Macaca fascicularis: one gene and its partners. The protein of the gene in region 3 purifies or fractionates together with the protein of the main gene of each other region. This does not show direct contact. Links are inferred from orthologs where the notes say so. Each region holds a gene or a part of one and is shown on either strand. Other genes may lie near its edges.

Region 1 (4,916 bases), on a different chromosome or scaffold from region 3:
AGAAGATGGCAGGGGACACCTATGATGTTATAAGGTGAGATTATTCCATGCTTACCCGGGGCCACTTCAATAAAAAGAATCTCACACAGGTTCCAGATGAGCTCCATTGCTGACAAAATGGAGACCTAAGGGAGAAATGGAGACAGGTTTCACCTGAAATCATTCCTGAGCTTTGCTCTGAGAGCCAAGGGATAAAGCAGGCCTTGACTCACACGACAGTCATTCCTTAACCCAACAGCTACTGCAATCCTACAGGAGGATTTCCCAGAGGGGAGTCAGCACGAGGATGTTAGGTGGCGGGATGGAGGCTAACATTATTTTGTTTTAGTGGTTGTGATTTTATTTTACCGTGCATTACAAAAATAACTTGGCCAGGTGCAGTGGCTCATGCCTGTAATCCAAGCACTTTGGGAGGTCAAGGCAGGTGGAATGTTTGAGTCTAGGAGTTCGAGACCAGCTTGAGCAACATTGCGAGATTCTGTCTCAACAAAAAATACAAAAATTGGCCAAGTGTGGTGATACATCCCTGTAGTCTCAGCTACTCAGGAGGCTGAGGTGGGAGGATCACTTAAGCCCAGGAAGTTGAGTCTGCAGTGAGCCATAATCGTGCCGCTGCGTTCCTGCCTGGGCAAGAGTGAGACCCTGTCTCAAAATTTAAAAAAAGAAAAAAATATGGCCAAGCGCGGTGGCTCACACCTGTAATCCCAGCACTTTGGGAGGCCGAGACGGGTGGATCACAAGGTCAGGAGATCGAGATCATCCTAACACAGTGAAACTCTGTCTCTACTAAAAATACAAAAAATTAGCTGGGAGTGGTTGTGGGCACGTATAGTCCCAGCTACCCGGGAGGCTGAGGCAGGAAAATGGCGTGAACCCAGGAGGCGGAGCTTGCAGTGAGCTGAGATCGTGCCACTGCACTCCAGCCTGGGCAACAGAGGGAGACTCCATCTCAAAAAAAAAAAAAAGAAAAGAAAAGAAAAAAAGAAAAAAATATAACTTGCATGTCACCAATTATTACTTTTTTATTTTTTTTGAGATGGAGTTTGGCTCTTCTTGCCCAAGCTACAGTCCAGTGGCGTAATCTCGGCTCACTGCAACTTCCGCATCCTGGGTTCAAGTGATTCTCCTGCCTCAGCCTCCCCAGTAGCTGGGATTACAGGCGTGTGCCACCACGCCCAACTAATTTTTTGTATTTTTAGTCAAGACGGGGTTTCACCACATTGGCCAGGCTGGTCTTGAACTCCTGACCTCAGGTGATCTCCCCCAACTTGGCCTCCCAAAGTGCTGGGATCACAGGCATGAGCCACCGCACCTGGCTATTTTTTTTTTTTTTTTTTTTTTGGAGACAGAGTCTCACTCTGTCAGCCAAGCTGGAGTGCACTGGTATGATTTCGGCTCACTGCAACCTCTGCCTCCAGGGTTCAAGCAATTCTCCTGCCTCAGCCTCCCGAGTAGCTGGGATTACAGGTGCACACCACCATGCCTGGCTAAATATTGTATTTTTAGTAGACGGGGTTTCCATGTTGGCCAGTATGGTCTCGAACTCCTGACCCCAAGAGATCCGCCCACCTCAGCCTCCCAAAGTGCTGGGATTACAGGCGTGAGCCACTGCTCCCAGCCTACCTCGATGAATTGATGCTTTAGCAAGGGACTTCATTTGAGTAAAAGGAAGAGACGATATTTACAAAAATATTCAGTAGATGACACGAAACACGTAGACAGAGCAAGAATTGTGAAGTTGGTATTCCAAGGACTGAAGTTTAGGAAACAGTCTATTAATGGGAAAGCCCAATATAAGACCCCGAAATAAATCAGACCTGGACCTTGCCCTTAGGAATATGCAGGCTTCCTCTCCTCACCATCCTTCGGTCCACAGACACCACGATGACTTGTTTATAAGGGTACTTCAGAGACACTGAATTACCGCCTAGTCACTTACTGACTTTGAAAAGTATTTAATATGAAGCATCTACTAAGGAAAAAGTCATCTTCCAGCTCCAAGTAAAGTAGAGCCACTTGCAACTCAGTAAAAATGTTGAGTTTGGTTAGGTGTGGCAGCTCACACCTATAATCCCAGCACTTTGGGAGGCCAAGGCAGGAGGATCACTTGAGCCCAGGAGTTCAAGACCAGCTTTGACAACATAGAGAGACCCTGTCTTTCAAAGAAAAAAAAAAATATTGAGTTCGAGAAGTGAGTAGTGTTTATGAGACTGAACAGTGATCTCACAAGATTAGTTCTCCATTTCGGGTGACAACCCCTCAACACAATTTGGTCAGGACATACATGTTCCATAAGAACTGAACATTCAGGGCCAGCACGGTGGCTCACGCCTGTAATGCCACCACTTTGGGAGGTCGAGGCGGGTGGATCACTTGAGTTCAAGAGTTTGAGACCAGCCTGGCCAACATGGTGAAACCCCATCTCTACTAAAAATACAAAAAGTAGCTGGGCTCGGTGGTACGCACCTGTAGGACCCAGCTATTCTGGAGGCTGAGGCAGGAGAACTGCTTGAACCTAGGGCACTCGAGCCTGAGTGACAGAGCGAGATTCCGTCTCAAAAAAAAAAAAAAAAAGAAGAAGAAGAACCAAACATTCACTCAAGTATTTAACAAGCATTTCCTTGTGAGCTAGACCTTGAAAGGGGCAAGACAATCACTGTCACCCAAAGGAGCTGCCTATCTACCTGAAGAGACTTCTGCCGTAACAGGAACTGCAAAGCCACCCCAGGTGGGTGCCCAGGACACAGGACACAGTGGTGCTAAAACAACAAAGGTGACTCCCCTTACCTGGCTGCTGAACTGGCGGCCGCTGGCTGGATCTTTAGCAGCAACTAACGAAACACAAAACATTTTAAGTGAGCAATGGAACTCTTAGGCTTATTTTCATAGCTGAATATTCCAGGGTCTATGGCCTGAGCCTTTGTTTCCTTTAATGACAAAAATTAAAAGAAATTATAATCTCTTCTAATTATGGATATTTTTGTTATTAATGCTTCATATCCCTTCAATTCTCAAACCAAAGGCCCTGAAGTTACCAAATGGCACTTTCAACTGCAACAAAGTTACCATAAAGGTCTCTGACCTTTGTCAGAGTGGCTTCATGTGTGGCTCACACCTGTAAGCCCAACACTTGGGAGGCTGATGTGAAAGGACTGCTCGAGCCCAGGAGTTCAAGACCAGCCTTGGCAAAATTAGGGAGACCCTGTCTCTACAAAAAATTTAAAAATTATCAGAACAAATGTCTCTGAGGAAGATGGGACAAAAATTTTTTTTAATAGCCAGTACACACCTGCAATCCCAACTACTTGGAAGGCTGAGGTAGGAAGATCACTTGAGCCCAGGAGGTGAGGTCACGGCTGCAATGAGCCACAATGTGTCTTTGCACTCCAGCCTGGGCAACCTTGTCTCAGGAAAAAAAAAAAAAAAAGTCCAGGCACAGTGGCTGACTCCTGTAATCCCAGCACTCTGGGAGTCCAAGGCAGGCAGATCACTTGAGACCAGGAGTTCAAGACCAGCCTGACCAACATAGTGAAACCCCACCTCTACTAAAAATACAGAAATTAGCTTGGCTTGGTGGTATGCAACTGTAGTCCCAGCCACTCAGGAGGCTGGCTGAGGCTGGAGAATCGCTTGAACCTGGGAGGTGGAGGTTGCAGTGACCTGAGTTCATGCCACAGCACTTCAACCTGGGCGACAGAGTGACACTCGGTCTCAAAAAAAAAAAAAAAAAAAAAAAAAAATACTCTAAATGATTACCAAAAAAGTAAAGATTGTGAAAGATGGAAAAGTAAGTTTTGGACTGGAATATCAATCAAACTTTACCTCACAGTATTTATGCATAGATAAATACTCAAAATACCAACACACACACACACAAACACACACACACACACACACAGTCCTTACTTGCAACCTGGTGCATTTCCTCCATACATGCTCTTATGACTGATCGGTAGTTTTTACTCACTCGAACCAATCTATAAAAAATGAAATAACACACAAGATGAGCCTGGAACATCTTGTAGTGCTAGAAAAGAAGAAAACACTCAAATAAATGTAGAAATTTGCTGAAAGAAAGAGGGGAGCCATTGTGAAGGAGCTCGTAACCTTCTGAAGCTGGAACAACTTGGGCAACAAAATAAAACGCCACAAAACAACCCATGGGCTAAAGTTAATATCCATAAACCCATACTGACATTAATTGTTGCAGATGAAATCTACTAGTCAGACCTTGTCTCAAAAAAATAGATACGGCCGGGCGCGGTGGCTCAAGCCTGTAATCCCAGCACTTTGGGAGGCCGAGACGGGCGGATCACGAGGTCAGGAGATCGAGACCATCCTGGCTAACATGGTGAAACCCCGTCTCTATTAAGAAATACAAAAAACTAGCCGGGCGAGGTGGCAGGCGCCTGTAGTCCCAGCTACTCGGGAGGCTGAGGCCGGAGAATGGCGTGAACCCGGGAGGCGGAGGCTGCAGTGAGCTGAGATCCGGCCACTGCACTCCAGCCTGGGTGACAGAGCGAGACTCCGTCTCAAAAAAAAAAAAAAAAAAAAAAATCCCAGCTACTCGGGAGGCTGAGGTAGGAGAATCTCTTGAACTCGGGAGGCGGAGATTGCAGTGAGCCAAGATCATGTCATTGCACTCCAACCTGGGCGACAGAGCGAGACTCCATCTCAAAAAAAAATAAAAAATAAAAAATAAGACAGGGTCCCCTGCCATCAAGGAATTACAGGACTTTTGACATGTTTTTTCCTAGAAGTGACAATAGATTTCTCAAACTCACCAATATTACCCACCAGAGTCCCTTAAAACCAATAATCAGGCCAGGTGCAGTGGCTCACGCCTATAATCCCAGCACTTTGGGAGGCCGAAGTGGGCAGATCACTTGAGGTCAGGAGTTCAAGACCGGCCTGGC
Region 2 (4,916 bases), on a different chromosome or scaffold from region 3:
CCTGCCTCAGCCTCCCGAGTAGCTGGGACTACAGGCACCTGCCACCTCGCCCAGCTAGTGTTTTTTTTTTTTGTATTTTTCAGTAGAGATGGGGTTTCACCGTGTTAGCCAGGATGGTCTCGATCTCCTGACCTCGTGATCCGCCCGTCTCAGCCTTCCAAAGTGCTGGGATTACAGGCTTGAGCCACCGTGCCCGACCTAACAGATGCACTTTCAACAGCACAAATAAGAAATAAATTACAATATGAGACTTGTCTAACTGGCTGCTATTTACATTAAAAGATAAAATGGCAAGATGTTGCTCTGATTGAGAACTAAGGTGAGGTTCTCAACCTTCTAGTGATACTGTATCAAACACCGTAGCCATAACCACAACTAATTAGCTTAATGAAAAATATAGACAGCAGACCACGTGAAGACACAGGAGGAAGACAGTCATCTGTAAGCCAAAGAAGAGGCTTCAGAGAAAACCAATCCTGCCAAGACCTTTACCTCAGACATCTAGCCTCCAGAATTGTGAGAAATAAATTTCTGTTGTTGCCTATAATCCCAGCACTTTGAGAGGCTGAGGTGGTAGGATCACTTGTGTCCAGGAGTTTGAGAGCTGCCTGGGCAACATAGTGAGACCCTGTCTCTACAAAGAAATAAAAAATTAGGTTGGGCACAGTGGCTTATGCCTGTAATCCCAGCACTTTGGGAGGCTGAGGAGGGCGGATCACTCGAGGTCAGAGTTCGAGATCAGCCTGGCCAACATGGTGAAACCTCTCTCTACTAAAAATACAAAAATTAGCCAGGTGTGGTGGTGGGCACCTGTAATCTCAGCTACTCGGGAGACTGAGGCAGGAGACTGAGGTGGATCACCCATGGTCAGGGGTTTGAGACCAGTCTGGCCAACATGGCGAAACTCCATTTCTACTAAAAATACAAAAAATAGCCGGATGTGGTAGCATGTGCCTATAATCCCAGCTACTCAGGAGACTGAGGCAGGAGAATCACTTAAATCACTTAAACCTGGGAGGCGGAGGTTGCAGTGAACCAAGATCCCATTACTGCACTCCAGCCTGGGTGACACAGTGAGACTCTGTCTCAAAAAAAAAAAAAAAAAAAATTAGCTGGGCATGGTGGTAGATGCCTGCAGTCCCAACTACTTAGGAGGCTGAGGCTGCAGAATTGCTTAAGCCTGGGAAGTTAAGGCTGCAGGGAGCCATACTTATGCCACTGCAGGTAGCCTGGGTGACACAGTGAGTTTTTTTTTTTTTTTTTAGATGGAGTCTCGTTCTGTAGCCCAGCTTGGAGTGCAATGGTACAATCTCAGTTCACTGCGACCTCCGCCTCCCGGTTCAAGTGATTCTCCTGCCTCAGCCTCTCCAGTAGCTGGGATTACAGGCGTGCGCCACGATACCCAACTAATTTTTGTATTTTTAGTGGAGACGGGGTTTCACCATGTTGGCCAGGCTGGTCTTGAACTCCTGACCTCGTGATCCGCCCACCTCAGCCTCCCAAAGTGATAGGATTACAGGCATGAGCCACCACACCCGGCAACAGAGTGAGATTCTTGTCTCAAAAAACACACACAAAAATTTGTTGTTTAAGCTACTGTCTCAAGAAAAAAAGACAGAAAGAAAAGAAAGAGAAAAACAGACGGGCACGGTGGCTCACGCCTGTAATCCCAGCACTTTGGGAGGCCGAGACGGGCGGATCACGAGGTCAGGAGATCGAGACCATCCTGGCTAACACTGTGAAACTCCGTCTCTACTAAAAATACAAAAAAAAATTAGCTGGGTGTGGTGGCGGACGCCTGTAGTCCCAGCTACTCAGGAGGCTGGGGAGGCTGAGGCAGGAGAATGGCGTGAACCTGGGAGGCGGAGCTTGCAGCGAGGCGAGATCGCGCCACCGCACTCCAGCCTGGGCGACTGAGCAAGACTCCGTCTCAAAAAAAAAGAAAAAAAAAAAAGAAAGAGAAAAACATAATGATGTTCAGAAACAGGAAGAGACGATTTCCTTGATCTTAGTGAAAAGCTACTTGTTACAAAGCTCAATGCCATTTTACCAGCTTCTCCAGGATCATCCTCACGTAACATAACAGCACTGATAGTTACATCTTCTGTTACACTGTGAGGCTCTGTGTTTGTGAAGAGTCCAGAACGCTGTGATGAAAATGCAGCTGCCCAGTTACTGTCATCCAGATTGGTAACCTTAAAAAAAAAACAAAAAAGTAAAAATAGAGAAAAGTGATGGAGTTATTGTCACTGAGTGGATACTTTAAAAGCAAGTAAGATTTCTAAAAATTGTATGTATGTATGTGGGTTTTTTTTTTTCTTGAGATAAGGTCTGGATCTGTTGCCCAGGCTGGAGTGCAGTGGCACGATCACAGCTCAATGCAACCTTTGCCTCTCAGGCTTAAGCCATCCTCCCACTTCAGCCTCCCAAGTAGCTGGGACTACAGGCACGTGCTACCATGCCTGGCTAATTTTTGTATTTTTAGTAGGGACAGGGTTTCACCATGCTGGCCAGGCTGGTCTCAAACTCCCAGCCTCATGTGATCCATCTGCCTCAGCCTCCCAAAATGCTGGGATTACAGATGTGAGCTACCATGCCTGGCTACTATAGTGTATTTATTTATTTATTTATTTTTTGAGACAGAGTCTTGCTCTGTCTATCGCCCAGGCTTGAGTGCAGTGGTGCGATCTCCGCTCACTGCAAGCTCCACCGCCTCCTGGGTTCACTCCATTCTCCTGCCTCAGCCTCCCGAGAAGCTGGGACTACAGTCGCCTGCCACCACGCCCGGCTAATTTTTTTGTATTTTTAGTAGAGACGGGGTTTCACTGTGTTCGCCAGGATGGTCTGGATCTCCTGACGTCGTGATCCACCCGCCTTGGCCTCCCAAAGTGCTGGGATTACAGGCATGAGCCACCACGCCCAGCCTATAGTGTATTTTTAATACTTAGGTGAAGTCATTCTGAATCACAGCTTACATAACATTTATTTTGCTATTTTCAATACTGTTCCATAGTGATTCCTAAAGAGTATCTCATCTACCTTTTCCAATTTTCTCTTGTATCCTCTTTAATACATTTTATCTCTTCCTTATGATACTCTGCATCTATTACCCTCTGATTCCTACTCTTGTATGCTTCAAAACAGGGATCAGATTTTATAGCCATCAGCAACCAACCACAGCATGTATTTCTTCTGGTCAGCAAACTGACAGATTAAAACATCTTATCTGCATTTAAAGGTTGCTGGTGTCACAGTTTCCATCTGTGATATCAGATGCATAAGGTTTTCAGTTTTTTTAATGTCTAATTAATTATTTCAATCCATATAATCTAAAGTTACTTTTGTGATGATTCTGACTCAATATTCATTAAAAGGCTTTTACATCAAATGTTATACTTTTATAAAAAGGGAGAACTTCTTTTCTCTCTCTCTTTTTTTTTTTTCTTTTGCAATCACAGGTCACTGCAACCTCTGCCTCCTGGATTCAAGCAATTCTCACACCTCAGCCTCCCGAGTAGCTGGGATTACAGGCGTAAGCCACCACTCCTAGCTAATTTTTTTGTTTTTAGTAGAGACAGGGTTTCATCATGCTAGCCAGGCTGGTCTCAAACTCCTGACCTCTGGGAAGCCAAGGCGGGAGAATCACTTGAGGTCAGGAGTTCAGGGGGTGCTGAGATTACAGGTGTGAGCCACCACACTCGACCCAAAAGTTCTTAGTCCTATTTTTCTACATACCATGGAGAGATTTCCGAAGAACCCTGAAGACTGTGTAAGTCGGGGCGACCTCCCTCCTGTTCCAAGAATGCAGGAAATATCTGGCTGCCTTAGTAAGCTTCGGCTTGTTGGGGTAACTATAAACAAAAGGTTGGTAGAAAGAACCTAAAGTGCGTGAGCATTCATTATCAAAGCAAAGCAAACAAACAATGAAGAATAAATTTTTACTGTACTCTAACCAAATAAATACTTTAAATGCTAACATTTCCATGATACAAGGATTTAAATTATTTTTCTAAATTTGAGCTGTAAGTACTACTGAGCCTAACAGGAAAAATTTTACTGCAATTGCAGATGCTTTCATTATAGCCTAACTGAGCAGTTAAAGCCACTAATCAGTCAATGGATTCTTCATATTTTAATTTTATAAGGCATACCAAGGCAGTGTAGTACAGTGGGCATAAACTTTGGAGTAAACAGATCATTGTTTGAATCCCAGTTCCACTATTTACATACTAGTCTTGTTCTGTCACCCCAGCTGGAGTACAGTGGCACAATCTCAGCTCAGTGCAACCTCTGCCTCCTGGGTTCAAGCAATTCTCCTGCCTCAGCCTCCTGAGTAGCTAGGATTATGGGCATGCGCCACCACGCCAGCTAATTTTTGTATTTTTAGTAGAGACAGGGTTTCACATGTTGGCCAAGCTAGTCTTGAACTCCTGGCCTTAAGTGATCCGCCTACCTTGGCCTCCCAAAGTGTTGAGATTATAGGCATGGGCCACTGCATCCAGCCTATTTACATACTTACTGCCTATATTAGTTAACTTCTCTAAGTCTCGCGTTCAGTTTCGGTAAAATAGAGCTAACGATACCTATGTCATAGTTACTGTGTGTTTATGGAAAGTACAGTACCTTGTACATGGCAAGAGTTCAAACAAATAATAACTGCAATCATTATTATTAGTGTTTATTGATATTGTAACCAAATACTATACTTATCATGTTACAATAAATGTTAGTTGCTATTATAATTATCATTATTATTAAATGCTTTAAAAGCAAAAAAGTCTTACAAGGCTGTCGAAATGAGCTAGGAGTTCGAGGGATAACCTGGTTTCTTGGTGTAGTATTACCGAAACTTTCATCTTGAGATGCCTGAACTGTACAATGAGTTAAGAAAAGTTTTCCATGTAGAAAAGATTAAA
Region 3 (4,916 bases):
CAAAAGCTTTAAACAGTAATTCCAAGTAGTGAAAGGCAATTTCCTTTAAAAAAAAAAAAAAAAAAAAAAAAGACCAAAAAGTCCACATTGGGTTTTGCTGCTTTATACACAGGAATGATTTATTTTACATACTAGTCAGTTGCAACATTAGCCTGTAAAATGAAATCCATTTTCTAAGGTCTCAAAGACAGAATCAGCTTCGTAAGAATATGCTTTCACATTAGCCAGTCTGATAAAGCATAAACAACTTAAGACTATGGTAACAGTTCAAAATAAAATTTACAAAACAGGCACTTTGAAGTCAGCTACTGTGTGTAACTTCACAGTTAACGTTACTTGGACATATCTCATTTCATCAAAGGTTATCACCCAGTGAAGCCAACGTTCCTTTGATGGAGACGCACAAACAGATTTAGGTTCGAAACACCGTATTCCAGTTGTAATACATGCAAGACAGACCCTAAGTTAGAAAAATCTTCTGAAAGAAAGTGAAGAAAAACAAAAAGCAGCCAGAAATGAAAGCATTTACAAGCACTTGAATAAGGCCTTTCAATGTTAAATCAGTGTTTTAAACCCCTTCATTCTCAGGTAAGGGATTAAGAGGCCGAGAGAGATATCGTCTGCGAGGGTGAGGATACTGGAGGTTGGCAGTGTCAGCATCGCAAGAGTGCTCTACCAGAGGAGGAGGAGGAGGAGGAAGGAGCTGGGCATAACTGGACCATCTCGATCCAGCCCGTGGGGAATCCAGAGGGGGAAAGAAATACCTGAAACAATGAAGACAGGAACAAAACACCAAACAAAACAAAAACAGGGAAAAAAAAAAAAAAAAAAAACACAAGAAAAAGAGAAAAGTAGTAAATACAGAGAGAACCAAAGAGGAGAAAACACATGCTAGAAAAAAAAAAAAAAAAAAGCTTTAGTATATTCATGCCAAAACTAACAGAACATAATAGCACAAATCAAGACCCTTACTCAAATCAAGATTGCTTAAGCAAGTATAGAAACTTGAAAGGAATACAATCTGTTAAACTTAAAATGTCAAAAAAAATCAATATAAATGTTACAAAGAAAAACATTAATTTTATAAATTCAAAACACTTTCTAATCTCTCAGAAACATCTGATGCTATTCTGTACATTTACAAATCTAATAAGCTTTTTCTCTTAAGCAATGGTTCACTCACAACAGCAGCAAGCACACATTTTTTAGTGCATACATGATACTGAGAACACACACAGTATGGCTGGCTACTGCAACATGCGTTTGAAGAACTACAAACACTGAACACTTATTTTTCTGCAAAAGCCTTAGGATAGCTACCAAATTTCGAGAAGTGAAAGGACTCACAGAATGACCGTGCCCTACTGTTACTCTTCTTCCATTTTGTAACTTACCCGTAACACTTACACATTTTAGCAAGCTTAAATATTTATAGCTTTGTTATCAAGGTCAGAGCTTTACAGGATATGAACTAATTTAAACAGCCAACTAAATTAAGAAAATCTTGAGATATGGAATGCTGACATTAATTTACATGCACAATTTTAGTAAAATTTTAATGGCTTCTCTTAATAGTGTGTGTCCAAATTTTGATTTGAAGGAAACTAAGCCATGGAATAAATAACACCATAAAAATATACAAATGTATATAAGAAACATTTATCTCTTTAGTGACTATGAATTAAAAACTTATAAAAAAGTGTTTCCATCTTACTTCCAAATTGTAAATGAAACAATACCAAATGCTTAACCTGGCTACAACTGTACAGTCAAGTTCCTTCATTTTACTATTACTACTTTACTAATTCACTCCTTTACTAATATTCTTTAAATACTACAAGGAAATGACAGAGTTGTACTGAATGTCATGTATAAAGCAATTCTACAAAAAGTAAATCACTCAAAACAATCTTTATAAAAAATATTTATTCAATCTTCAAATTAAAATTATAAAAGTTCATTTTAAGCTGTTTTAAGAAAGCAAAAGAAATATGTCTATATTTTCCAAATGAAGTAAAGTGATATTTCCCCTCCTCCCAACTACTTAGATAAGAATGGTAACAACCCTTTTAATCTTTAAACCCAAATTAGTTTCAGGAATATTTCAAAAAATTGTTTTGGTGACAATGTCTCAACAGAAAGCCTCTCCATTTATATTTCAAAAGTTTCAAATAGTGTCAAAAAACTGACTAGTACAAAAAAATATACACTGTATTTTTAAAGGCCTTTAGGATTGCGTTTAGTAGTAAGCAGGCTGCTGGTGTATCTTGGGAGAGGTCAAACGGCGCTGGGGAAGGGGACAAGGAGCTCGCTTTCCATTCCTGTGTGCATGCAACAAGCAGCAAAACAGCAAAGTTACTCCAGTTAGCTTGTACTCAGCTGTGCTTTCTGTTAAAGGACATAATACAAATGGAAAAGGGAAATGCATCACAGATCTAACACAGATGGTTATCGGCACAATAAGAATACAGATCAAAAAACAGAAGCTATTTACAAAAGAAAATACGCAGTACAGGCAGTGACCAAGAACCAGCCTTAAAAAATCAACTCTACTTATTTGTTTCATGAAATAATCTTTATAATCTGGTATCTTCCACGGTAACCTGAAATCGTTCTGATGCACATACTTAAAACCTCGAAATCAAAAGCAGGACTTCTTTATAAAAACATAACGATATAAAAATAGCTGAAATTTTAAATACAATTTTCTTATTTTATTTAGGATAACAACAGGACAGTCCATTAGGCTGTGTTTTGACGTTTCCTGAATTCTATCCCAAATTATTCACAAAGACATATTAAAATAATTTTATCTTACAAATTCACATATTTAAAATTTGAACATGAAAACAAAAGGATGACTCTTTAGATGACATCAAATATTCCTTATTATGATACACAAGAATGTAACATACGCTAACTATTCTAAAAATCAATCTCAGTTTTTATTATTTCCTCTTATTTCCATTAAACTTTAAACACAAAAGCCAAATAATTTAATGTACTCTCTTCTAAAAAGCCTTAATAAATGTATTTTATTTAAAATTGCAGTTTGACCTAATGCAAAGACCACACTACAAGCAGTGAAAAACACTAATGTTCATTTGGACTAAAACCCTCACTATTAAACCAGATAACCTTCCTCTCACTGTTGCAGAAGTGAAGTTGAATCTTAAACCTGTAACATTTCTACCGATAGACCACTAAAGCTTCAGAATATAATGTAATGACCTCATAACCTACCTGCAAATGTTATGACCAAGTAAGCCAAATACAGAGGTAACGAAATGAACTCTTAAATGCTAATATAATCACATGTGAACATTTCCACTCCATCTTATAATCCAGGAAATAATCCACCTTAAGTAGAGCTACCAGAATGATTTAAAACAAAGAGAATTTCCAGTTTTCCCATGAACAGCCTACCTGCCAGCAGAAGATCCATTTAATGAATTCTGAAGACTTGGAATATTTGAACCTAGGGAAGGATTTGAGTTTCCCTGCTGAGAACTCCCATTGACTGGGCTCCCATTACCTTTCAAAATACCAGTACACTTCCAATTGTCCATATAATTAGCTGAAAGGAAAATAATCAAATACATTAACGTGATTAATACCAATGCCTAAGGGCACAAATCCGTACCCATGTCCTTAAACTACAATTAAAGAAATGAGGGAGAGGCTAGGGGCTACATTTCTTTCAGGATAAACATTAAAGACACTTTTTAAATGGAAGACATATTGTCTTAGTTTTAACAAATTTTTAGAAGTTTTCAAAGTATCAATAACTTTAAAAGTATAAAGCTTTCACCACCCATGTTACAGATAATAGCAGAGACAATTTTCTGAGCTACCGTATTATCACATTATGAAATTAATATTAAAATCTCCATTATAATATTAAAGTCTTCATTATAATGAATTTCACTTACATATGTAAGGTAATGAAATTGTCTTCTTAATTATGCAAGTATAAGTTGTATGGGTACCTAATGTCTTCTGAAATGGATGTAGGTAAAAAACCTTTGGAGATTGAGTGGCTTATCCAAAATGGCCTTATTAGTTTGAATGCAAAATTGGTCTCTGAAGACAATGAGCCCAAGAAAATCAAGTTAGGCAGCCTGCTGGGGAGCATGGCAAGGTGGTCCTGACTAAAGCCCAGAGGCAGAAAAGGACAGCAAAGCCCTTGAAATCAAATTACACTGAAGAAAGGAAGGTCTGAGCTGGTTTTGCCAAAGCCCAAAATCGAACATGGGAGGCCCTCAAGCTTACCCAAACTGCACTTTGGGAAACAGTAACTGCTAAAGAGTAAATAAACCAAGACAGCTATAATTTTGAATGCTAAGTATGGGACACCATTCATTATGGTGGTGCACAAATCACAGAAATCTCTGCCCAACAGATAATCATCCAAAAAGCAGTGCAGAACCACGCTACAGAGACCACAGTCAGTGTCAACTGTCCAGACCTTCTCACTCAGCCTGGCACTTATAAAAAGCTTACAATCAGGGCCCCAAGGCTCTTAACGTTTGCACAAAGCAGGGAAGATACTGGATTTTCTCCTATTAAGGACTGATTGTCTAAAGTAATCTATTTGATAAAATAAGAGCGACCATAGTCCTAGCCTGAGTCTGTAGAGCAGTCAAGTAAGGTACATATATGACAACTGGTATCTTTTTACTGGAGATACTGCATATTCTGTTGTAATTACTTTAGTTTTAAAAGTTGCTCTGTTCCATATAACTTGAAAAACAATTCAGTGATTAACTGCTATGAACTAGGTAAACTGATGTTTGAAATAACATAAATTAATATGACATTAAAAGTAACCGTAAAAGACCATTTTTAAAAAATATTTCAGAGTTTACATTTTTAAGTAAAAACTCCAGAGCAGAAATATAAACCAACAATTACCC

What was found.
Region 1: the proteins of SEH1L (region 3) and NUP85 purify together in Homo sapiens (affinity purification with western blotting; 4 studies listed by BioGRID and IntAct, with this or other methods). This does not show direct contact. The link is inferred for Macaca fascicularis from reciprocal best matches to the Homo sapiens genes SEH1L and NUP85.
Region 2: the proteins of SEH1L (region 3) and NUP107 purify together in Homo sapiens (affinity purification with mass spectrometry; 5 studies listed by BioGRID and IntAct, with this or other methods). This does not show direct contact. The link is inferred for Macaca fascicularis from reciprocal best matches to the Homo sapiens genes SEH1L and NUP107.

What each region holds. Positions count from the first base shown.
Region 1 is NC_088390.1:81,599,726-81,604,641, reverse strand, and holds part of NUP85 (nuclear pore complex protein Nup85), read right to left. Parts: intron 3,978-4,916; coding exon 3,907-3,977; intron 2,832-3,906; coding exon 2,788-2,831; intron 126-2,787; coding exon 56-125; intron 1-55. UniProt on the Homo sapiens protein: Essential component of the nuclear pore complex (NPC) that seems to be required for NPC assembly and maintenance. As part of the NPC Nup107-160 subcomplex plays a role in RNA export and in tethering NUP96/Nup98 and NUP153 to the nucleus.
Region 2 is NC_088385.1:75,451,831-75,456,746, reverse strand, and holds part of NUP107 (nuclear pore complex protein Nup107), read right to left. Parts: intron 4,872-4,916; coding exon 4,785-4,871; intron 3,880-4,784; coding exon of another isoform or gene 3,852-3,879; coding exon 3,736-3,851; intron 2,196-3,735; coding exon 2,051-2,195; intron 1-2,050. UniProt on the Homo sapiens protein: Plays a role in the nuclear pore complex (NPC) assembly and/or maintenance. Required for the assembly of peripheral proteins into the NPC. May anchor NUP62 to the NPC. Involved in nephrogenesis.
Region 3 is NC_088392.1:81,036,352-81,041,267, reverse strand, and holds the end of SEH1L (nucleoporin SEH1), read right to left. Parts: intron 3,578-4,916; coding exon 3,427-3,577; intron 2,389-3,426; coding exon of another isoform or gene 2,376-2,388; exon of another isoform or gene 765-2,375; coding exon 569-764; 3' UTR 88-568; downstream 1-87. UniProt on the Homo sapiens protein: Component of the Nup107-160 subcomplex of the nuclear pore complex (NPC). The Nup107-160 subcomplex is required for the assembly of a functional NPC.